Xenopus tropicalis: one gene and its partners. The protein of the gene in region 4 purifies or fractionates together with the protein of the main gene of each other region. This does not show direct contact. Links are inferred from orthologs where the notes say so. Each region holds a gene or a part of one and is shown on either strand. Other genes may lie near its edges.

Region 1 (3,104 bases), on a different chromosome or scaffold from region 4:
AATGAGAATCAATTGCTAAACCCATATTTACTATCTAAATTGCTTTATATTGTGCCTTGTTAGAATCACTTACGGTAGAGGAATGGTAATGACAACATCATTCAGTTCCAGCCTTTCTTCCTGGAGTTCATATTCTATGTTAACATCACAGCCATTCCCACTTTCTGATGGCCAACAGTTAACTAAGGTAAGAAAAAGACATTTGAACACATATTAAAAAGTTTTGTTAGCAACTGTATTTAATTAATTTCACAAACATTCAATGCATTTGCTAGATGGCAACTGTACAGTCTGTTCTTTAAAGGAACAGTTCAGTGTAAAAATAAAACTGGGTAACTAGATAGGCTGAGCAAAATAAAAAAATAGTTTGAAAATATTTAGTTTGCCAAAAATGTCAGATGTGGGCCTGATAAATGTGAAAGCAGTTGTTTTCCAGGCCGACCTTCGATGAGCTCTGCGTGCCCACATTAGGCAGCTACTGTACTGTAGCAGGACCGAGAGAAGCGGATCTATACATACTGTGTGCCCTTGCCCTTAGCATTTGCGGTGTCACTTACACTCAAAAATTTGCCTAATGAGCAGATGGGGAGCTGCTGCATAGAAATTTGAAGGCATGGATTATTGTTTTTATCTTCGCCAGGTGTTGTACGGTTGGTATAAAAAACAGCATTTTAAAGCATTTTATTTTTTTATTTTTTTTCCTTTAGCCTGCACTGCTGAAGTTTATATTATGAGAAATAAATGCATGTTTTTTTCACTTTACCAACATATACTTTTTGTATCTTACATGCTGTGTACAGCTAATTATTCCTATTACTGAGTGTGTATTAGAACAATTGACTATAGTTTGAATTTGGATGTCCTGTCTGCAACCTTAAACCACGTAAAAGTGTACATGAAAGGATCTGCAGTTAATACTGTCCTGCATAATAGCACACTGAATGTTAAAACACAGTACTTACTGGTGAGGGGAATAAAAGACTCATCTGTGGTCTGCAGTCTCCACTTCAAGACACCCACGTCACTATTCAGAGGGAAGGATTTTTCTGGGTTTTTCAGCCCAATTACCGAATCCGAAGTGAAAAGTTTTTTGTCCACATTGGGATGAGTCTGAGACAAGAAAGCGAAGTTATACAAAACAATATGTAGCAGCCATCCATAACCTTAGACTGTCTACAAAAAGTTTTGACCATTTAAAACTGGAGCTTCAGCTCTTAGTTTTTCAGCCATGCAACCAATCATTTAATTTACAAACAAGCACTATTCAGTACAACTGTAAAGCAGTGTACTAAGCATGTTATACAAATGTTTAGTATACTTGTTTGATCATTCAATTCTCATATTAAAGGACTTGAAAACCCTCAAAAAATTTTTTTGCCTAATTAAAGAAAACATAATTCCAGGCAACTTTCCAATGTGAAAGTTTTTTTTTAATTGAAAAATTTTATAAATTAAATTGCTATTGAAAGCAGCATTTACTTTTTAAACAATGTTGCAAAGGTCAGTCTGCTCCAGCAAGACAGGTCTGTCAGTCTGCTGGCATGTGTTACATTGTTTCAAATGCCAGAGCCACCAGGGAAAATAATAGAAAAGGTAAAGTAATGAATGTATATTGCAAAGTTGCTTACAATTTTTTCTTTTATCAGGCAAAAAAATATATTTTCGATTGACTTTTCCTTTAATCCATTTGTGAACCATGAAAGACAGTTTATTTCAGTAATTCAAATACAGATGCTTCCTAACCTGCAGTTGTACTCCTTTTTTATCTTCATTTTCAATGTGCACACGGATCCTGCCAAACTTATCATCTGTCACTCTGAGCATAATCAGCCCGTGAACCTCCATATTCTGAAGTCCTCCATCCCGGCTGCAAGTAAGGGAAATTTTTTCTTCAACCCTCAAGTGAACACTGTAGATGAAAATAAAGAATATACTCAGAAGTCAAAAACAGCACAAATCTGCTCACCAAAAGAAAAATCAAAGACCCTGTTGGGAGATGCAAAGCAGAGGTAGGGATTCTAGCACAAAATACTAAAGTTTTACTAAGTTTGCTATTGTGGTAAGTCCTTTAACATGAGAGTGGTTACCAACAATTTATAACATGTTAAATAATAAGCTGCCAAAATGTTGGTTTGCTACAGGCAGCTCGAACATAAAAATCTAAAAAGCTGTTGCAAACTGTATACATACAGCATAGAAGTTTATAACAGAGAATAGAGCTTTTAATCAATAAATGGATTTCTCTAAAATGGTGCATTTCATCCCCTCTCAACAAATGTGAATGCTAAAGGGATACGGTCATCAAATAAATCGCACCTTTTGTAATAATTTGTGAAGTTTTGATTGTTCTGCCTTTGCTAGCCTTTCTTCAAATGTTGAGAAAACAAATATTGAATTCTTCCCACTTAAATCACACAATCTAATTTCTATAAGAAATGCAAAATACTGAGCATAAATAACTGTTTTTATATATACAAAGAAAATACTGGATAAAACCTCTTTCACCACAACTGATATTACAAAATATCAGACTTCCTGTCCCCATAAATTCCCAACACTGACCTCTCCATGTTCACGGGAGGAGCAAGCACCTTGGCCACTTCTGACTGCCTCTTGCCAGATGAAGGGGTGACAATAGTTTCTCCTTCAGATTTTAATTTGTCCACAAAGTTATCCACCTCCTTCCCTTTAGCTCCAAGTTTCAGGGCTTTGCCAGAACCAGATGGCCTACAGGGGGCAAGACAATATGTTGCACATAAAAACCTTTTTAAAGCCATAATTCTACAATTCCCATTCCATCATTTTAAATATTATACAGTTCATTTGGTTTGCAATAACACTTTACAATTGTATTTTGCTTGTATACCGTGATGGAACAGGGGCACTCTTTGTTTTCTCTGGTTCTATAATGGTCTCTGTAATCAGCGAAACTGCATTGTTAGACATGGAGGAACCACCCGAACTTCCAAACCCTCCAAATCCAGGAGCCTTCTTGCCCTGCCGCTCTGCATCCCTTCTAGCCTGCTGAAGCTCCTTGGCTTTGCGTCGCATCTCTGCCTTGGCTTCTCTTTCCTGTGTCTGTAAAGAGTGCAGAAAGAAAGGTG
Region 2 (4,261 bases), on a different chromosome or scaffold from region 4:
CAAAATGTTAGGCACCCCCAAGTGACTTTAATTGCTTACCTTGTACCCCGGGCTGGTGCCCCTGTTAGGAGAAAACAGCACCAGCCCGGGGTACCTGTAGCGAGCGGTTCCTCCTTCCTTTTGCCGGGACCCCACGACCGGCGCATGCGCAGTAGATTAAAAATTCAACTTCTCTGTTAAAGTTCAGCTTTTTCACTCGACTGCTCATGCACAAACACGCGAAGCAGGAAGCGCTGCAGCTACCCCGGGCTGGTGCTGTTCTCCCCGAACAGGGGCACCAGCCCGGGGTAAAAGGTAGGCGATTTAAGTCACTTGGGGGTGCCTAACATTTTGGCACCCCCAAGTGACTTTGCCTTTCCTTGTCCTTTAAGCTTGGTCAGATATAATACCCAGATTTCTCATTTACTTACTACACTGATAAATCTAATAGTCAGTTATACAGCACAACCCATTAGGGGAGCCTACGGTAGTGTATGAAAGTTAAAAGCAGATGTATCAACACTTGCAGAAGGCACATACTGAAAAAAGTGTCCTCCACTCAAAAAAATAATCATTAAGAAGAAAAGTCACATAACTTATCCTGATGCATCAAGCTAAGCTGATGTAATGTTTCTTCTAATTAGTAAATTAAGTTTATATGAGCCTGGCCTATGATATAGATTTTTGTTCTTGCCCTCTACAAGTTTGGTATATGCCCTCCCCAATCTGAAGACTCTGAAAAGCCAACCTGTTTACTATTTGTGGTTGGATCTCCCCTAAAAGTTTTAGGGAATGATTTAATAAAATTTTTTTTTTTTCTGGACTTGAAAGTAGTATAAACTCGACATGGTTTAAATTCTAATTAAACTCGAATTAAACTTGATCATTGTTGTATTTATAAAATGGGAGTTATTTTCGACAAACTCAAATTTATCAGGGAAAATTTCTGAAAAACTAGAATTTTTCGAGAAACAATATCAGAAAAATCGAGCACTGGCAAAAACCCATTCGTAAATCTCAACAGAAGTAAAAAAAAAAAAAACAAAAATCAACTGTTTCTTAAAATGTCTTAGTAAATGTGCCCCCTAAAGTTAATATATTTATAGGGAGTGCAATGGTTCTAGACCTCATTTCTTGAAACCCAAATGATCACATCTGGTAACCGTTTTAGTTGTATAGGGTCAAGCGAGTTTCTGGTAGTAGCCATATGCCAGTTGTTCTGGTGAGAGCCACAGAGTGGGACAATATAACGGAGAGGCATAGGGCCAGATTTATCAAAATGGGAGTTCAAAGATTTATACATAAAAATTCACCCATGTTCTTTTCATTCCTATGGGATTTTTAGAAGCATATTTATCAAAAGGTGAGTTCTAACTTTAGCCCATTGATAAATATGCTTCTAAAAATCCCATAGGAATGAATAAAAAGTGAATTTTTCTGTAGTGAGCTCTAATCTCAAATTTTGATAAATCTGCCCCCTGGAGATGTAGAATGCACATACCTGCGACTCTCATTGGACAGATACTCTGCAAACATTCGGACAGCCTGTAATTCAGGGTTGGTATTTGGCCGAATTTCATCAAGAACAACCCCATACTTGCGCTGCATGTGGAAAATAAAAGGTCATAAGACCAGGAAGAAATAAGAAGCTTCTTTTACTTAGTTATAAGTGCAGGAGGAAATAAAAAGCTTATTTTACTTATAGGTATAAGTGCAGGAGGAAATAAAAAGCTTATTTTACTTATAGGTATAAGTGCAGGAGGAAATAAAAAGCTTCTTTTACTTATAGGTATACGTGCAGGAGGAAATAAAAAGCCTTTTTTACTTATAGGTATAAGTGCAGGAGGAAATAAAAAGCTTCTTTTACTTATAGGTATACGTGCAGGAGGAAATAAAAAGCCTTTTTTACTTATAGGTATAAGTGCAGGAGGAAACAGAAAGCTTTTTTTACTTATAGGTATAAGTGCAGGAGGAAATAAAAAGCTTCTTTTACTTATAGGTATAAGTGCAGGAGGAAATAAAAAGCTTCTTTTACTTATAGGTATAAGTGCAGGAGGAAATAAAAAGCTTCTTTTACTTATAGGTATAAGTGCAGGAGGAAACAGAAAGCTTTTTTTACTTATAGGTATAAGTGCAGGAGGAAATAAAAAGCTTTTTTTACTTATAGGTATAAGTGCAGGAGGAAATAAAAAGCTTCTTTTACTTATAGGTATAAGTGCAGGAGGAAATAAAAAGCTTCTTTTACTTATAGGTATAAGTGCAGGAGGAAATAAAAAGCTTCTTTTACTTATAGGTATACGTGCAGGAGGAAAAAAGGCTACATTCACAATACTAATGACAGCTGGGTGAGAATAATGTATGATTATAATACAGAGTCTCTCTCACCTGGGCTATATATGCTCTGAACAGGAAAACGTCTCTCTCCACCTCCTTCTCTGGACTTGAAGGCTGTAAAATAAAATATTCCCACGTTACTATTTGATTATCCATCTTACCTCAGATTGTTAGCATGAGAAAAATAATAGATGTTATTGTGCCTGATTCAGTCATGCATGCTGTCGTTATATTTGTTCAATACGTATGCCCAATTTAAAAAGATTGCTGCTATGTCCACTATCCATATCCCTTCAGCCATAACTCCACGCCTCTCTGACCCAGTTTGCTGTAATCGTTAAATCACCTTTACTCTTTGCGCCTCATTAATGCACTGCTGGTAACTTCCAATATAGAAAGAATTCTTCACATCAAATAACTCGTCCACCTCTCCCTGTGCAGCCATTTCTGTATATCCCGGACACGTCAGCCGGCCAGCTTCCACAACTTCCGCCTTCCTTTACCGACTTCCGCCTCTCAGCTAAAGGCATGGCGGGAGATGTAGTACCAAAGGTCAGTTCCCGTAAGGACCAATAGAAGGGCGAGTTGTGTGACGCATTAGTTTGTGCGCCGGAATGTGCTGCTAGTGGCTATCACGCGTGTCAAGATGGAAGGGTTTTCGAGGCTTGGGTTGTCTTCCTGGCTTATCGATCAATGTAGCCAACTGGGCATATTGAAACCTAGTCCTGTACAGGAGAATTGCATCCCGCCCATCCTGGAAGGTGAGATTAGTGAATGCGAATATGATTCTTCGCGATTAAGGGGGCAGATTATCTGAGTTGTCCAGGGTGAGCAAGTCATCTACATAAGTGTTACAAATCATCTGAAAAACCAGTGATCAAAAGGTAAATGGCATAACTATATGTTAAAGGAAAGCAGCGCTAAATTTGCGGGAACCCTAACATTTAGGAGTAAGATTTAATTTAAATGTATTAATCTTCTTTTTTGTCACTGTCCCACTGGTCCCCTTTTACCTTCTGGCCCCCCGGCAGTCTCTTGAAGCGTCAGTTTCCTCCATAGTTACATTCCTATTTATAAATATATTGTGCACAGTTTTGCTTGTACCTAAGTTCGATTCATAATAATTGCATTCATCTAAAGGACATGTAAACCCCACACACAAAAATTTAATCAGTGAACAGCCTCTTTGAAATCTTTCAATACCTGCCACTCTGCTTGTCCAGAGGTTAATAGTAAGGCTGCAACATCCCCTTAATCACTTAGATTTCCTTCTCCTCCTGTAACCCACTCGCCCCCCCCCCCTTGGGAATTTGCTTTGATTCCTGCCTTGCCAGACATGCTCAGTTGTACTAAACTCAGATTACAAAATACGCCCTCCAGTCTAGCAGCCAGTGAAGAGATGGCATTGCTGGTTCCCATAGAAACTCAGCTCTAGCTGTCTGCTTCAATTTTTTCTCCTAACTTTCTCTCCTGAGCTCAGCTCAAACAAAGCAGAACGTTTATCAGACAGTTCTGCCTCTGTGAGCCTGTATTATTGATGAAATGTATGCTGAATAAGGGTCTGCGTGTGTATGCTGTTTGCAGATTTAAATGTATCTGATTATGTATCAGAGGAAAAAAGCCACCTGGTAAAAGGTCAACTATCCATTAACATCTGCACAGAAAATGTATTGTATTTTGTTGAGAACTCATGAAGTTGATGTCCTGTTAGGCCGAGACTGCATGGGATGTGCAAAGACTGGCAGTGGAAAAACAGCTGCCTTTGTGCTGCCTATTCTCCAAAAACTCTCTGAGGATCCCTTTGGAATATTTTGCCTGGTTCTGACACCAACTCGGTGAGTACAGATGCTATTATAATAGTTATTGTATAATTTTCTCATTAAAGAGAAAAAAAGTAATATTGTGGTAGAGCAAAAATTATGGTCTTTCCCTACAATGAACAACAGAT
Region 3 (4,058 bases), on a different chromosome or scaffold from region 4:
TGCCAGGATCTCAGTATAAGTATCCTCCCCTTAATTACATCATCAAATAGTGACAAACTACATTAACCATCAGCCCCAGTGGAACAGCCCATAATAAATAAAGACCAATTATCACACATCGCTATTAACACACCAAAATGACTGTCTGGTCTCTTGGCATTGTGTGCCTCTTGTTCTTAGAATCTAGCCCTGTGAGTAGCAATACAACCTCCATGAGCATTCTGCTGTGTAGTTCTTCACTGTTTGATGTTGTAGGGTGCTTATACTGGGACCCTGGCTGATAACGTAATCAGGGGGTGGGTTCTTGAGCATTTAAAACTTGCACTTGACAAAGGGGTTATCCCTGAAACATGTGTATGTATCTTCAGCCCTGGTACTAACACAGTGGTGCAATGGTTACTCAGTAAAAGTTTTTCTGTGATCCTAATCCATACATGCAGTAGGGCAACTAGGAAAGGGATGCTGGCCCTGTTTGAGGCCAAAATTCAATGGGGGGGGGGATTAAGTTCCCTCCTTGCCCCTATTTGCGGATGTCCATGGAAGAACTGCACTTTAAATTGGATACATAAGGACAAATGAATTAGGCATATACATTTATAGTTAGAGAAAAGCAACCCACTTGTGTCTGTAATGGCTAATACAGCACCGTGTGATTTAACCAGGTGGCACAAGCCACAATGAAAGACTGCAAGCCCTCCCTCACTGGCCAGCACAGACGTGCCATTTGCTGAGGCGGCTTTCCATCTATAGGAAAGTCAGAGGCTTTAAGGCCTGTTTATTAATTGGACTGTTTCTGCATATACCGATATGAACAAAAGGTAAAATATATCAGTTACCGGATTCCTCGTCCTTCTTGTCAAATTTCTTGATCATTTTCATAGATGGGCACGTTAGAGGCCAATCTCAGTGGCAGAGTTTCACCCCTCTCACCCCCCCCGGCTGTGCGTGCTGCGTGAGCAAGCCGGCTCCCCTCCTTCTCAGGGGCAGTGAGTGGTTGTCAGGCAACACAGGAAGAGGCGTGCTGCTGTGAGAAACAAGTGACAGTAAGAGTTCATAAAGCAACAGCGGCCACAAAAACACATGCCTACAGGGAACCTTATGGGTAGAGTCCTGCTCAGTGCTTTTGATTCTGCTTGCGCAGACTGGCCTTTTTTCATCGCCCCTTGCAGCATGGAGCTCCAGCTCAGTCAGCCAACAGTATCTGAGATCGCTGCTGCTAGTAGGTCTCCTGCGAGAAAAGCAGCATCCCCCCCCTTATGTACCTTTGTGTGAATGAAGCCCAAATAGGGCTGAAATGAATTTAGGCTGGGACCCCTTCCCCCTTTAGCCATATGGTCATTCGGGCAGGGCCTGCTCCCTCCCCCGGCCAGCTCCAGGTAGAACAATAGAAGGGTGAGCAGTGGAGGGAAAGAGAGGAGGGGGCTAGGGGAGGGGACTTAGGCAGAGCAAGGTATGTAATGGGATGTGTTTGTTAAGGATACATTCTTACTTGTTTCTTGTCCACAAGCCACCTAGGATGTTAATGACTTGTGCCTAAGACACACCAACTTGGCAAATTGCATTAGAATAGCATTAAACAATATACCAGAAGTTTATTGCAAGATCAACTTACCCATTAACAGTATAGAGATAGAATATAATGTCTGATATATTACACAATTCACAACTGTATGCCCTTTTTGGAAAGATTATTAAATCTTTCCAAAATGAAACATGCCACAAATAAATGGAACTTTTACACTTTCAGTGTGCAACTGCTCGTTCTGTCAGTAATCTTCTAAAGATTCTTGAGATGAGATATTTGCAGGGGAAGGGGGTGGAGAACAGCAGAACAATCATGGAGGTTGTACTGCTACTTGCAGAGGGTGTTTCTAAGAACAAGAGGCACACACTGCCAGGATCTCAGTATAAGTATCCTCCCCTTAATTACATCATCAAATAGTGACAAACTGCATTAACCATCAGCCCCAGTGGAACAGCCCATAATAAATAAAGACCAATTATCACACATCGCTATTAACACACCAAAATGACTGTCCGGTCTCTTGGCATTGTGTGCCTCTTGTTCTTAGAATCTACCCCTGCAAGTAGCAATACAACCTCCATGAGCATTCTGCTGTGTAGTTCTTCACTGTTTGATGTTGTAGGGTGCTTATACTGGGACCCTGGCTGATAATGTAATCAGGGGGTGGGTTCTTGAGCATTTAAAACTTGCACTTGACAAAGGGGTTATCCCTGAAACATGTGTATGTATCTCCAGCCCTGGTACTAGCACAGTGGTGCAATGGTTACTCAGTAAAAGTATTTCTGTGATCCTAATCCATACATGCAGTAGGGCAACTAGGAAAGGGATGCTGGCCCTGTTTGAGGCCAAAATTCAATGGGGGGGGGGGATTAAGTTCCCTCCTTGCCCCTATTTGCAGATGTCCATGGAAGAACTGCACTTTAAATTGGATACATAAGGACAAATGAATTAGGCATATACATTTATAGTTAGAGAAAAGCAACCCACTTGTGTCTGTTATGGCTAATACAGCACCGTGTGATTTAACCAGGTGGCACAAGCCACAATGAAAGACTGCAAGCCCTCCCTCACTGGCCAGCACAGACATGCCATTTGCTGAGGCGGCTTTCCATCTATAGGAAAATCAGAGGCTTTAAGGCCTGTTTACTAATTGGACTGTTTCTGCATACACCGATATGAACAAAAGGTAAAATATATCACTGTTACCGGATTCCTCGTCCTTCTTGTCAAATTTCTTGATCATTTTCATAGATGGGCACGTTAGAGGCCAATCTCAGTGGCAGAGTTTCACCCCTCTCACCCCCCCGGCTGTGCGTGCTGCGTGAGCAAGCCGGCTCCCCTCCTTCTCAGGGGCAGTGAGTGGTTGTCAGGCAACACAGGAAGAGGCGTGCTGCTGTGAGAAACAAGTGACAGTAAGAGTTCATAAAGCAACAGCGGCCACAAAAACACATGCCTACAGGGAACCTTATGGGTAGAGTCCTGCTCAGTGCTTTTGATTCTGCTTGCGCAGACTGGCCTTTTTTCATCGCCCCTTGCAGCAGGGAGCTCCAGCTCAGTCAGCCAACAGTATCTGAGATCGCTGCTGCTAGTGGGTCTCCTGCGAGAAAAGCAGCATCCCCCCCTTATGTACCTTTACAACAGATGCTTGCTGAGGGTCAGCCAGTGCCACTCAATAGTTATGTCATGTGTCTTTTGTACAGTCTGCTTTAGTGTCACTCCTGGTGTAGTCCCTGCTCTGACAGGCACAGGAGTACCTGAAGTTTGTTTAAAAGTTGCCATTGTATGGCAACCTACGCCTTTAGGTTTGCATTAGTCTGATGCAGGGCGGTATTATGTGGAAACTTTATAGTTATTGCCTGCAGCAAAGGATTTCATAAAAAGTTATGTTCGGGGAGACTAGAAGGGGGCCAACTGCTAGGACATTTACCAATTGGCTCCAAGCATTTTTGGCAGTATTTTCTCTGCAAAATTACCTCAGTTGGCATCTCAATTTTTTAGGCACTTTGACATTATAAATAAATCTTATAAAAGCTACAGGGTTTTTCTTGGGCCACGGTCCTAGTGGGCCCCAGCGGCCCAAACCCGACCCTTGCCAGTGCTCCCCAGGGTCGGACTGGGCCGCCGGGACACCGGGAAAAATCCCGGTGGGCCCCGGCCCTAGTGGGCCCCAGCGGCCCAGTCCGACCTTTGCCGGCGCTCCCCGCTACTGACTGTTCCTCCCCGACGCGTTCAATTTATACGCGCTCGGGGAGGACGTCAGGCGGGGGCCCTTCGGGGGGGTTAGGGGGGCCCTTGGGGGGGTTAGGGGACGCGGCAGGGGCACCTGCAGGGCCCCTGGGGCGGGAGCCCCGGTGGGCCCTGCACCCCCCAGTCCGACCCTGGTGCTCCCCCTGCCTGACTGTTCCTCCCTGCGTTAAATGTATGCGTGCTTGGGGAGGACTTTGTGTGGGGGCCCCTGCAGGGTGGGGGGGTTAGGGGACGTGGCCGACAGGGGCACCTGCAGGGCCCCTGGGCGGGAGCCCCGGTGGACCCT
Region 4 (4,061 bases):
ATATGTCCATATCAACCAGATACCTGCTGCAATTCCAAACAGGAGAGCTGCTCAACAAAAAGTGAAATAATTAAAAAAAACGCTAATAGCAAATTGTCTTAGAATATTACTCTCTACATCATACTAAAAGTTAACACAAAGGTGAACAGTTCCTTTAAGCGTTTGGAGTCAGTGAGGCATGGCTAACACATTGGCACCCACTCAGTTATTTAAAGGAACAGTAACACCAAAAAATGAAAGTGTATAAAAGTAACTAAAATATAAAGTGCTGCTGCCCTGCACTGGTAAAAGTTGTGTGTTTACTTCAGAAAGTCTACTATAATTTATATAAATAAGCTGCTGTGTAGCCATGGGGGCAGCCATTCAAAGGAGAAAAGGCACAGGCACATAGCAGATAACAGATAAAACACTATTGTATTCTACAGAGCTTATCTGTTATCTGCTATGTAACCTGTGCCTTTTCTCCTTTTTTCCAGCTTGAATGGCTGCCCCCGTGGCTACACAGCAACTTATTATATAAATTATAGTAGTGTTACTGTAGCAAACACACCAGTTTTACCAGTGCAGGGCAACAGTGCATTATATTTTTATTAATTTAAAGCTCTTTCATTTTTTAGTGTTACTGTTCCTTTAAGTGCTTTTTTAGCCAAGCCTTTGTTACCTATCATAGTCAATGTCCAATTAATTATAGTTAGCTTTACATGCACATACAAGTTATACTGTTATATGCATTTTTACAGAACACAAAAAAATGTGTAAGAACAACAACAAATGGAATTCCATGTCTAATTACAGAACAAAACGTTTGGCAATTCATTCATCTGATGCCTCATATGGGAGCAAAGAGCCCACTCACAGGACTTACAAGTGACCCTGGCCTCACAGTTTGTGAAACTCTGGTGTAAAATATCCCTTTCAAATCCATATACATACTGCACTAGCCTGTTCATCTACAAGTCAGCATACATACAATTTAAAAAAAACAAACAAAAACAAAATACCATTTAAGGCGCAAGGTAACAAACTGTACATTTATACAGGTATGGGTTTATTCATATTTATCCTGTATTATATTCAGCTTTCTCCAAACTCCAACAGGGTGTAAACAATATGCAGTCATGTATTGATATTTTATATTTAGGGTTTTGTCTAGCATCCCCCCAGTTAGGAATTTCAGCAGCTACCTGGTTGCTAGGGTCCAATTTACCCTAGCAACCAGATAGTAAGTGGAGTAAATGAAAGACTAAGATCAATGAGAGAGGCCTAAACATAAAAAAATAAAAAGTAGTAATAACAACAGAATTATAGCTTCAAAAGCAGTCATTTTTAGGCTGCAGGGGTCAGTGACCCCACTTCTGAAAGCTGGAAAGAGGTAGAAGGTGACAAATATTTAAAACCTATACAAAAAAAAGACGACCAACTAAAAGATTGCTAGGAATAAGCCATTCTATGGCATACTATAACATAACTTAACGGTAAACTACACCTTTAAGGGATAATTAAGCAGATGGCATATGGACATTATTAACTGGAGCGATGCTCAGGAGAAAAAGCAGTTAGAATGCCTTTTATCTGCTGTCACGGATTCCAATACAGATGTATGAAAATACCCTGCCGACAATAGCCAGAGACCAGCACAGCAATTGCCCACTTTACCTAACAGCCCAGCATTCCCGGCTATAAATGGGGGCAGAGGCCTTGAGGACTGAATGGCTGTATTACTACAAATATGGGCTAATGTTTTAACAAGTTGGGCGTGCATACATTTTTCCCAAAATCTACTGCCATAACTGTAATTTAATTGTTAAAACGGAAATCCCTACCCAAAAAAAAACTTTCTTTGCACAATGAGAAAAAGTGTAATTCTAAGAACGATCCAATATATGTACAAAATGATACAATTTCAATTGTTTAAAACATCTGTAAATGTCACTGCAATCACAAAGAGCTGTTTTTTTTTAAAATCCCTTTCTGTTCTGGGTCTGACTCTTGAAACACTGCTGCACAAGTTTCTTTCTGGTTCTACCAGGTTCTGTGATCAGTTAGGGTGACACACGAAGCTACTAGTTGCAGCTACTTGTCACAGCTACTAAAATAGACAGTACTGATCATTTACCGATAACTGTCTATGTGTGTTTTAGCAGAGGCAATTCTCAGTATTGTCCATGGCAGGGGATTTTCTGGAGTTTAGTAGCCATGAAAAAGTAGCTGCTACCGTACTAGTGTGTCTTCACCCTTAGACAGAAGTGCAAAGAATATAAAGAGAGAGGTTTTTGGAGGAGATTCACTTTAAACTCCACTTCCAATAGTAATTACAATGGGGCTACAGAGAGTTGTGAGTTGGCCAGCAGAGAGGCCACATACGGAAGGGTGCCCGGCCATGACATATGAGGGCTTATAACACCAGATCTAGTACCCGATCTAGTACCAGATCTAGCACTCCAGATGCCACTATGTGGAAACAGGACCTACATTAAGTAGTAATTATTGTTATAACCATCGAGACAGTAACGCAGCCCTTACGTAGCATGTCTATAAGGGGAAATCATACAACAGGGCAGCTGAAAGTAACAGTCGGGTTGTTATATTAGTTACAAGCTCAAGACATGCCTTTTGGGGCTCACTAGTCTATAACACTGGGGCGGCGCACTGACACACAATCAGAGCATCCCAGAACTTCTTATTTCCAACTTCTGACAACCATGCATTTATGATTACCGTCGCCCCAGTTGTTTAATAAACCTATAATACTAATCCTTCAACAGCCTTACTCACCATTTCCCCGGTTCTTCGGTCCCTGTCTGACTGACGTGGAGCTTCCGGGAACCTAAGGAATTATCGCGACACCAGCTAGCCATGTACTTCCGGCGGCTGCAGAAGGCTTCAGTAGTAAAGTAAGTCGGCCATCTTGCGGCGGAAGTAAAGTGGAATGCGTGTGACGTGGCGGGTTTCGGAGAGTAGCTCCATGGGCTGGTTTGGAAGATGTGTCGCTTGAAACAAAAACGAGTTCATTTATTCTTCGGACGGCAGGGGGAGATGTGATAAAACATAATTTATATTTCGTACGGCAGGGGGCGTTATGAGAAAATATAGTTGTTCAAAGCATATTAAGCGCCGAAAAACCCGGAAGTACAAAAGCGCTTCCAATACGTGTGAATAAAATACATCGTTGCAGTGTGGATCCGTGGCGCTATTTATTGATTAGTACAGGGCGCATTAACTTGTCGCAACCAATTAGCTATTGGGTTTAATGCCCCTGCCGAAGGAAGAATAATAGATTCAGAAGTATACGTTGTCTCGGCTTTGCCTTGTTAGGAATGAAGCCCTTGTGTGTTTCTTTACAGTGCGTTATGTATATTTGTTTAGGGACTGCCTCAAAAAGGAACACCTGTGAGGACCGCAGACCCCCCGCCAGTGGTGCTAAGGGCGCTAACTGTCAGATCAGCCAGCATCAAATCACTAAATTCCCCAGAGATTTTTATTTCAACGTTGACTTCTCTGGGACTCCATTGAGCCCTTTATATTACAGGTATAGGACCCATTATCCAGAATGCTGGGACCTGGGGTTTTCCAGATAAGGGGTCTTTCCGTAATTTGGGCTCTGGCACACGGGGAGATTAGTCGCCCGCAACAAATCTCCCTGTTCGCGGGCGACTAATCTCCCCGTGTTGCCATCAGTTGCCATCCCACCGGCGAACATGTAAGTCGCCGGTGGGATGGCACACGCGGCAGCGCGATTTCGGCAAATCGCCGAAAATGCCACACGAGGCAACTTCGGCAATTTGCCGAAATCGCCTGCGCAGCGTGTACCATCCCACCGGCGACTTACATGTTTGCCGGTGGGATGGTAGTTTGGGGAGATTAGTCGCCCGTGACAAGGGAGATTTGTCGCGGGCGACTAATCTCCCCGTGTGCCAGAGCCCTTAGTCTACTAAAAACTTGATAACACATTAGACACAATAGGATTTTTTTTTTTATCCAATAAGGATTAATTATGTCTTAGTTGGTATCAAATACTTGCTGCTGTTTTATTATTACAGAGGAAAAGGAAATCAATTTAA
Region 5 (4,252 bases), on a different chromosome or scaffold from region 4:
TTAGAGGGGCCATCCACAGTTTACTATGTAGATTCACCCCCCCCCCCTTTTTTGTCTTTCTTGCTTGATATCGACCAGGCAGGATCACTCAAGAGCTCCATATATGGGCCAATGAACAATTAAGTGTATTAATGATAACGTTATCTATTGTATTGAATGCCTGTGTGGCCTTCAGTAAATAGGGAAAAGGAATAGGTAGTTATTAGAATGAAAAAACTAACATACAGAAATATTAGTAAAGGTTTATAAACTAGAGTTTCCAAATCTCGAACTCAAATATCTAAATAGGGATTCAATATTGGAAAATGATTAATGTTAAAATAGGGGGCTGTGAGATATTATAAGAATAACCAGGGCTGCCATTGCTATGTGGGGAAAGTTACGCAAATTGCCTAACGTACATATAAAGTTATGGCAAAACTAAATCAATTTACGTAACTTAAACCTGCCTAGAAACTTGTGTAACTTGCATAAAAACTTGCGTACAAGCAAAAGACAATGCAGAGAAGGGAAAACTCCAGTAACCACCAATGAATGGTAAATTCTACCTCCCCCAATGAACTGACTTATTAGCACATTAATTATTCATTTTAACCATTTATATGAACTGCTTATTATAGAGTAATATCTCTGTTTTTATTTGGGATCTATTTACTGAATTCTATGAGTATTCTTTACATTAACTTTTCAGCAGTGGAATGACTGGTTATTGGGCCCCACAGCAACATCATTGGCCCCCTACGCTTATGCAAGTTACTTTGAGAAAACTTACATTTAAACTGCACTGACCCCTAATGAAAAGATTCACTTATTAGCACATTATTATTTTTACTGCTTTAAAAAAGTAAAGTAAGTAGTTTTCTCCAGAAAAGGTGGAAACCCTAACCCCTTTGCATCACCCACGTCCCCATACATATCTCTCCTTACATCCTAATTATGCTTATGTGTTTTCCTTTTTGTTTCCTCTTGTTGTTTGGGTACAAAATCCTGTATATAAGAACCAACATTGCTTCTTTGTAATCAGCTTTGGTGAAGGAACTCTTTGCTGAGATTATCATCTTAGGCAGCCAATACCCACAACACATCTACGCCACTTTTGTTATGCTTCATGTCAGAAGTTTCACACTACAACTTTTTCAACTGGCTAACATAGTGCAGAACACTGGATTGGAACCAAGAGCACTAAGCACAGTTTTTACGCAAAGTCAACCGACCTATCAATTCATTCCAATGTCCGAGCTGTAGCGTAACAGCAGGGTGGAGCTTTAAACTATTAGTGACACAGTAATTTACATCTATTTCCTCCGCCATGGTAACCATTTGCCCAATAAAAGCAGCTTCCGCTTCCAACGTAGACGCATTCGTGTTCCGCCTGTCAGTGACTGAAACCATCAACCAATTAAAAAGCTTTAGACGCTATTAGCCACACCCTTCTTCTTCCTGTTCCAATCAGACTGAGCGAGGAGGCGCGGCTAAAGTTTTGATTGGCAGATGAATTAGCCAACGCGCGCTTTGCTCCACGTCAGCAGGATAGAGAAAGATGGATGCTATACTGTTGGTGAGTGAGGCCGCGGAAATAGCTTTGATTTTAGTGTGAGGGGGCCGGTAAAACTTTATTTTTCTATGGTGGTTGCAATCGTTTGTTTAGCTGGCCAGGCTGCTGTGTAGGGACAGGGGACGAGTGGTTAGGGTCTGTCAGTGGCAGGCTTTGGGCTGTGACTCCCAGCATACGTTCAAACGCTAGGGTAGCTATTCATTTTGGGACCTGTAGGAGATATCGTGCAGCAAAGTAGTTACTTTTTGTCATTCAGGGATGTTGCACCTGAGCCTTACGCCATGGTGAGCCTGTGCCAGGGACCCCCTATTGAATGGCAGGACTGGGCAAGGGCTGCTGGCACAGAAATAATAAAAAATATCTGGTAGTGACATTTTCTGAATATAGTGTGCCAAACTCTATAGTGCTATACCCCTTCTGATATTCCTTGTGTGGGTGTGTGTTTCCTTCCTAATCTGCCTGATTTTTATGTAGAAATAGTAGTAGTAGTAATAGTAAATAGTAGTAGTAATAGTAGTAGTAGTAATAGTAGTAATAGTAAATAGTAGTAGTAGTAATAGTAGTAGTAGTAGATGATTGATTGGGCTTTTAAGGAAAAAGAAAGGTGTCTGGGCTATTCTGAAATCTCTTTGGGTTAGACTGGACAGGCCTGGCGCTTATGCATGTCAGATTGTTGCTATTAGTCTATTTGCAGTTTAACAACAGCAGTTGGGCTATGGCTGATGGTAGAAGAAATATAGAACAGTTTTAACACAATACAATATCTGTATCAGGCATTTAAACTCTTAACAATTTTTTTTTGCAGGATTTTGTTTCCCATGGGGTATTGCATATCCCAGATATAGTTTTATAGAATCTCTCTTTACAGGTTGTGATTAAAGGGTATTGTATTGGGTAAAAACAAGAAAGTTCTAGTGCATTATGCACCTCAAAATCTAGAATAAATGTGCTGAGAAGTTTTTGGCCGATTTATTGAAAATGTATCCAAAACCCTACTAGTCCTACCCATTTTTTCCACTTCCCACTGCCTTCTTTCCCAGACCTGATAGGGAACTGAAATCGTCATTTGCGTGTGTGATTGGCTATGCCCCTCCTACTGTGCTTCTGGCAGGGACCATTAGGACATACCCCCCCCCCCCCCACCACCACTTGAAACATGGACAGGCAGATCCATAGGAAGCTTTAATAAAAAGGCCATTTTGTAAAGCTAATGATTATTTTTATCTCAGAGTGAAACCTGAAACCAGCACCATATATTTCATTTATGCTATATGTCTACTTTAAACTTAGTGTTTGCCGTGTTTATCTACTTTTGAGTGACTGTTCCCCCAAATATTGACGCATGGCATGTAAGTTTCTTGAAAGAAATTCATTAGGAAGCTTTAATAAAAAGGCCATTTTTAAAGCTAATGATTATTTTTAGCCCAGAGTGAAACCAGCACCATATATTTCATTTATGATATATGTCTACTTTAAACTTAGTCTTTGCTGTGTTTATCTACTTTTGAATGACTGTTCCCCCAAATATTGACACATGGCATGTTAGTTTCTTGAAAGAGAATCATTGTATAAAGAGGTTGTTTGGGAATTGAGAAGAACAGGTAACATCTGCTAGCAGAGTCAATGACACCTTGATAGGGACTAACTCAGTAAAGAATTCATACATGCCTGAATCTATGCTCTGTTTTTATTACTATTCCATGTTTCTTCCTTTTATATATTCCCTTTAACAAGAATATCATACATTGCTGTCTTTGAACAGTAGCATAAATTATATTCTCAGTCAGCACCCTAGGCATAAACTGAACAGAACAACTAAAAACCAAATAGTTTAATACTGACAGTATCAGTTACCACTCACAAATTGGAAAGTGAACGTGTCCATCAACCACAAATAAAAGGTAGAACCAGAACAGGCATTAAGTGCTAACGCTTTCCAAACTCCAGGTATAGCACAGTAAATTGGCTCCTTTGTGTTTGGACAAACATGCAAATAATGACTTTCCTATGGTAAGTGGTAAACCATTAATTGAATTCAGGGTCATCGGTGTTTCCCAAGGGGCATCCTCGTCTGGTGGTTGAACTATAAGATGACTGAAAAGCAGGGACAACGTGCTAAATATAGTTTGTTATTGAAATATAAAATGGAATATATTGCATTTATCTAACTAAAAGCATCATGCGCATTTCTAATACAGAGAGGTAGTTTAACAGGTTTCCCCAGAAGAACAGTAGATAGTGGGTATCCAACCCCAGCTCTGATTCACACAGGGAACATTATTTGCAGTTCCCTCTCAGGTCTGTCTAGCTGCTGATTGAATGGCATCCTACAATGCAAGTGCTGAGTGCCACATAATCTCCTTCTCAACCTGGGAAAGCAGCAGCTCAATTCGGTGAATGGTGCTAGCAAGTTTTTTACATTTACGTAACTTTTTCAGCAACACCAAAGGAAACTTAAAGGTACATACATGTATTTAGAAGTGTATAATGCAATGAAAAAATGCTTCTTCTTGACACCATTTGTCCCCTTTAAGTATAATGTGAGAGGTCTGCTGGATTTCAAGCCTTTCCCAAAAAATATTGTCTACCTGGATTTAGAATTTTCAGTGTCAATTTTAACCTGGAGGATAAGCCCCAGCAAGGATTTTCCTTCTGTTACTTTTATTACAATTGAATAATCAGAGTGAATTACTAATT
Region 6 (4,158 bases), on a different chromosome or scaffold from region 4:
ATAACATAGGCACATTATTTAAATAAATGCAAATAATGTATTGCAAATCATGTAGTGATTTCAGGCTTTCTACACTTGGGTTGATTAGTAGGTTGGTTTTAATCCTAGCCCACAGCATGCATTAATAATGAGCAGGTCAGGAAAAGCTCCACCCTGACCCCAAGTCATAAAATACTGCCATTGTAGGACCCGCACCCAACCTGTACCAGTGTCTTTCCACTCCGTACACTACTTCTGAGTGCGCCTCTGGTTTTAAGAGAGGAACACTTCTGAAGCAGAGGAGGCCTGTACTTCCCCAGTCTGACCTGCACACAAAATTAAGTTATGTTTTAAAATCAAACTTGAAATAAATACTAGACACTATAAAAAGAAAAAAGAGCAATAAAACTGCACAGTGTATCTGGTTACAGTGTCAAAGTTAAGTGACTACCACACCACATTTTTTTAGTTGTAGGCTGGAAAGAGAAAAAAAAAACAAAAAACATACAAACACATAGATAATGAAGACCAATTGAAAAGTAAATTATACTAAGTCTACTCAGGGCCACCATGAGAGGTAATCCTATCAGGGGCCCTATGGTAGAAGGGTACCCAACATGAAGATGTGAGTCTAACATGGAGTGGGCAAGGTTTGTTCATACTATCGGTGAGGTTTTGGCATAAAGGGGTGTGGCTGATGCAGATAAGCGGCAATAAGCCCCATTCTATTTGCTGTCATGGCTCACCACCCAGAGGCCTACTTGGCAGTATGCGGCCCATTAATTACTGATGACAATATCAGGGTAGTTTCAGTAAGGTATCCACAGGCGTCATTATAGGACCTAGATCATACAAGTACTGGCTTCCAGGGCTGTGGAGTCGGTAGATAAATTCTCCGACTCCGACTCCTCAGTTTCTGATACTTCCGACTCCGACTGTTTTTAATATGCTAATGTATTTTATACATTCATTGAATGAAAGGAAGGAGACATACATGTCATTTAACCACAGAACTACTGGCTCTGCATTGGGCTTTATTCTTATAGCAGAGAAGTAATTAATTATGACTGTTTGTGAATTGGGACATTTAAACTTGCTTTTTTTTTTTTTATTCCCATTTAAATTTAGTAGGAGTCAGAGTTGGTTCATTTTTTGCCGACTCCAGGTACTCAAAATTGCCGCGGACTCCAGGTACTCAAAATTGCCTCCGACTTCAACTCCACAGCCCTGCTGGCTTCTTTGATGTACAATGGAAGAGACTTTTGTTTATTGGTTAAATAATAATATATCTAGATGCTGATGGGAGATAAAAAGCCTTAAGGAAAACTGCAACATTCTTAAATTTATAATAAAATAGTACAAATGATAAACAGCACATACAAAACTGCGGTGCAGTTGCTGATGGCAACAAACACAGAGCTCTTACATTGATGTACAAACATATGGACGGAATATCACTAAAATAACTTCAGCCTTAAGGTGCCCATACACTATAAGATCCGCTCGCTTGGCGATGTCACCAAGCGAGCGGATCTTCACCCGATATCCCCACCTACGGGTGGGCGATATCGGGTAGCAAGGGACTTGAAAAAAAAATAATCCGATTGTTCAACAATCGGATTACATTTGAGCTTATGGGGCAGTCGGTTCGGGGACCGCATCAACGAGCCGATGCGGTCCCCGATCCGACCGGATTTTCTAACCTGGCCAATCGAGATCTGGCCAATTTCAGGCCAGATATTGGTCGGCCAGGCAGCTCTGTTCTGCCCATACACGGGCCGATTAGCTGCCGAATCGGTCCAAGGGACCGATATCGGCAGCTATAGTCGGCCTGTGTATGGGCACCTTTAAAGAAGGTGCTTAATTACTCAGCCCTGGCAAATACAACATATAATACAGAGCTGAACCATACCTGCTTCTCTCTAAATGGATTAGGCCATGCCATTTTATGTTTACACCCTGCGCCCATTTTGCACGTGTGCATTCGGCATGCAAATTTTCACAAGGCATTTTTCCCACATACAGTTTTATATCTATAACCTATTGGTATCGGGGGGTTAATATGATTCAAAGCATACCCATTAACTAGCATGGGGCTGCATTTGCAAACAGATGCACCTTATGGGCAGCAGTGTAATGGACTGCCAAGAACAGAATAAGGTGGTGGCTCTAAAACACAAGGGCACGGCCAGTATTCCAGCTTTAATTTACATTGTTACTAGCACACTGGGTACAGGCTCCCCAATACTCTGAATTAAATATATAGTAACTCCTACAACATGAAGGAATGCCCTAGAACAGACATATCCAATATGGCCTTTCTTATTAAAACGACCAATCCCAGCAGGCTTTATGGGATTCCTGGTGTAGACCCGATGTATAGGTATTGTGAGAGTTATTAGAGTAACGCTAGGGCCCCGTCCAGCTGTTCTACCAGTGTAGCACACACCTGATGCCTTCCTAGGTCACAGACACGGGCTTGGATTCCACTGAACTGCACAACCCGTCCCTCTTGGGTTCTGCCTTTTGCATGGCTGCCAGTGTATCCCCACACAGAGCCAGGGGCCTGAGTACCATGCACTCCCTGCTGCCGGTGTGGGCCAGTGACAGCGTTCGCCATTTAAACAGACATATAAGGGCAATAAATAAAACGCGACACAATAGTGCAAACCCCCCATATCACTCACCCGACTCCTCATCCTTTTTATCGAACTTCTTCAGCATCTCTGCCCCTCAGTCAGAACCAGGCCACTTCCTGCCAGGCTGTCACCGGGACACGTCACTCCTGACAACGTAACCTACGCATGCGCACTAACAAGCAGTGCGATTGGCGCGGACAGAGCATGCCTAGAACGGTAAATGCTTGTTCAACGCATGCGCACTGTTAGCGGAAGCGACTGAATTGAAACCGGAACTGCTTGTGAATAGCGCACGCAATAAGGGACAAATGTACACCGGAAGTTCGAGGAAAAGTATGAGCCAGGCAAAATAGGTTTTTATTTTTGAGTTTACATCGCCTTAGAAAGTTGCTTGGAAGTCCAAGTAACTTTCTAAAACGATGTAAGCCCAAAAATAAAACTTGGCCTGTTGAAAGGAAATACAGTTCTAAGCAACTTTCTAATATGTATTCAGATTTTTAATGCTTTACAGGTAAATATAAATCACAATATTCGTACAGGGAGGCAGGATTCTTGTGTAATTGTATTATTCATTTTGACGTTTAAATAAAGGCAAATAAAAGCATTTTTATAAGTAGTACCTATGGAATGGATCTCTCCTCTTTTGACATGCACATAGAGTTGCCACTTGTTTATTGTTGACCTGCACAGTTCAGCTTTACTTAGGGCTATTTGGATCTTAACTGTCTGGGATTCAGCCTTGTGAAACCAAAACAATAATCTGGCCACTAACCACCTCTGATGTCAAGGCCTGCCCCCAAAATGTACAAATACACTTCCAAATATCACATCTGCACCCTCTTATGTCACCGCTCTGCCTCTGATGTCATCATCCCAACATTTTGTCTGTTTTTTTGCTGAGGTCAAAGGTGGCAATCCTTAATGCACACTGTGCCCCCTCAATACTGCCCTATTTGCCTTACCTGTTCCAAAATTAGCACCGCAGGTAGGGTGGGGCCCTGGCTGTCACTTTGTGCCACTGCAAGAAGGTGTCCTCCAACCCCACAGTATTGGGTAGGGTGGAGGGAGACGTCCTCCAGGGGTAGAATTAAAAAATGCTATTAGTTCTTCTTTAAGGCTGTGACAGATGGGGAGTTTAGTCGCCTGTGACAAATCTCCCTTGTCGTGGGCAACTAATCTCCCTGAAATGCCATCCCACCGGCTAGAATGTAAATCGCCAGTGGGATGGCATACGCGGCGCCGCGATTCCCCGAAATCGCAGAAGTTTCCTCTCAAGACAACTTCGGCGATTTTGGGAAATTGTGGCACCACATATGCCATTCCACTGGCGATTTACATTCTAGCCGGTGGGATGGTTTTTCGGGGAGATTAGTCGCCCATGACAAGGGAGATTTGTTGTGCAGTGACTAATCTTGCCGTCTGTTACAGCCCTTAAAGTTTTTTTTTTTTGCAAGGTTAATGATTCAGGGTAGAATTGGAGAGATCTTTGTCCAAATGGATGGAATGTTTTCAAAATGCTAGAGGTTGTCAGGTATCAAAA

What was found.
Region 1: the proteins of copb2 (region 4) and arcn1 fractionate together in Homo sapiens (co-fractionation; 5 studies listed by BioGRID and IntAct, with this or other methods). This does not show direct contact. The link is inferred for Xenopus tropicalis from reciprocal best matches to the Homo sapiens genes COPB2 and ARCN1.
Region 2: the proteins of copb2 (region 4) and cope purify together in Homo sapiens (affinity purification with mass spectrometry; 4 studies listed by BioGRID and IntAct, with this or other methods). This does not show direct contact. The link is inferred for Xenopus tropicalis from reciprocal best matches to the Homo sapiens genes COPB2 and COPE.
Region 3: the proteins of copb2 (region 4) and copg2 fractionate together in Homo sapiens (co-fractionation; 4 studies listed by BioGRID and IntAct, with this or other methods). This does not show direct contact. The link is inferred for Xenopus tropicalis from reciprocal best matches to the Homo sapiens genes COPB2 and COPG2.
Region 5: the proteins of copb2 (region 4) and copz1 fractionate together in Homo sapiens (co-fractionation; 6 studies listed by BioGRID and IntAct, with this or other methods). This does not show direct contact. The link is inferred for Xenopus tropicalis from reciprocal best matches to the Homo sapiens genes COPB2 and COPZ1.
Region 6: the proteins of copb2 (region 4) and copg1 purify together in Homo sapiens (co-immunoprecipitation; 8 studies listed by BioGRID and IntAct, counting the BioPlex papers as one, with this or other methods). This does not show direct contact. The link is inferred for Xenopus tropicalis from reciprocal best matches to the Homo sapiens genes COPB2 and COPG1.

The regions. Positions count from the first base shown.
Region 1 is NC_030683.2:80,549,730-80,552,833, forward strand, and holds part of arcn1 (coatomer subunit delta), read right to left. Parts: intron 3,079-3,104; coding exon 2,867-3,078; intron 2,728-2,866; coding exon 2,563-2,727; intron 1,910-2,562; coding exon 1,744-1,909; intron 1,111-1,743; coding exon 963-1,110; intron 183-962; coding exon 74-182; intron 1-73. UniProt on the Homo sapiens protein: Component of the coatomer, a cytosolic protein complex that binds to dilysine motifs and reversibly associates with Golgi non-clathrin-coated vesicles, which further mediate biosynthetic protein transport from the ER, via the Golgi up to the trans Golgi network.
Region 2 is NC_030677.2:112,615,111-112,619,371, forward strand, and holds the start of cope (coatomer subunit epsilon), read right to left. Parts: upstream 2,801-4,261; 5' UTR 2,759-2,800; coding exon 2,660-2,758; intron 2,428-2,659; coding exon 2,365-2,427; intron 1,582-2,364; coding exon 1,481-1,581; intron 1-1,480. Other genes in the region: probable ATP-dependent RNA helicase DDX49, read left to right, coding at 2,960-3,074, 4,025-4,148. UniProt on the Homo sapiens protein: The coatomer is a cytosolic protein complex that binds to dilysine motifs and reversibly associates with Golgi non-clathrin-coated vesicles, which further mediate biosynthetic protein transport from the ER, via the Golgi up to the trans Golgi network.
Region 3 is NC_030679.2:86,687,571-86,691,628, reverse strand, and holds the start of copg2 (coatomer subunit gamma-2), read right to left. Parts: upstream 2,801-4,058; 5' UTR 2,775-2,800; coding exon of another isoform or gene 2,732-2,774; intron 1,479-2,731; exon of another isoform or gene 1,263-1,478; intron 1,025-1,262; exon of another isoform or gene 1,022-1,024; 5' UTR 880-1,021; coding exon of another isoform or gene 874-879; coding exon 837-873; intron 1-836. UniProt on the Homo sapiens protein: The coatomer is a cytosolic protein complex that binds to dilysine motifs and reversibly associates with Golgi non-clathrin-coated vesicles, which further mediate biosynthetic protein transport from the ER, via the Golgi up to the trans Golgi network.
Region 4 is NC_030681.2:128,433,805-128,437,865, forward strand, and holds the start of copb2 (coatomer subunit beta'), read right to left. Parts: upstream 2,801-4,061; 5' UTR 2,779-2,800; coding exon 2,776-2,778; intron 1-2,775. UniProt on the Homo sapiens protein: The coatomer is a cytosolic protein complex that binds to dilysine motifs and reversibly associates with Golgi non-clathrin-coated vesicles, which further mediate biosynthetic protein transport from the ER, via the Golgi up to the trans Golgi network.
Region 5 is NC_030678.2:145,584,085-145,588,336, reverse strand, and holds the start of copz1 (coatomer subunit zeta-1), read left to right. Parts: upstream 1-1,452; 5' UTR 1,453-1,540; coding exon 1,541-1,558; intron 1,559-4,252. UniProt on the Homo sapiens protein: The coatomer is a cytosolic protein complex that binds to dilysine motifs and reversibly associates with Golgi non-clathrin-coated vesicles, which further mediate biosynthetic protein transport from the ER, via the Golgi up to the trans Golgi network.
Region 6 is NC_030680.2:135,688,518-135,692,675, forward strand, and holds the start of copg1 (coatomer subunit gamma-1), read right to left. Parts: upstream 2,801-4,158; 5' UTR 2,704-2,800; coding exon 2,667-2,703; intron 1-2,666. UniProt on the Homo sapiens protein: The coatomer is a cytosolic protein complex that binds to dilysine motifs and reversibly associates with Golgi non-clathrin-coated vesicles, which further mediate biosynthetic protein transport from the ER, via the Golgi up to the trans Golgi network.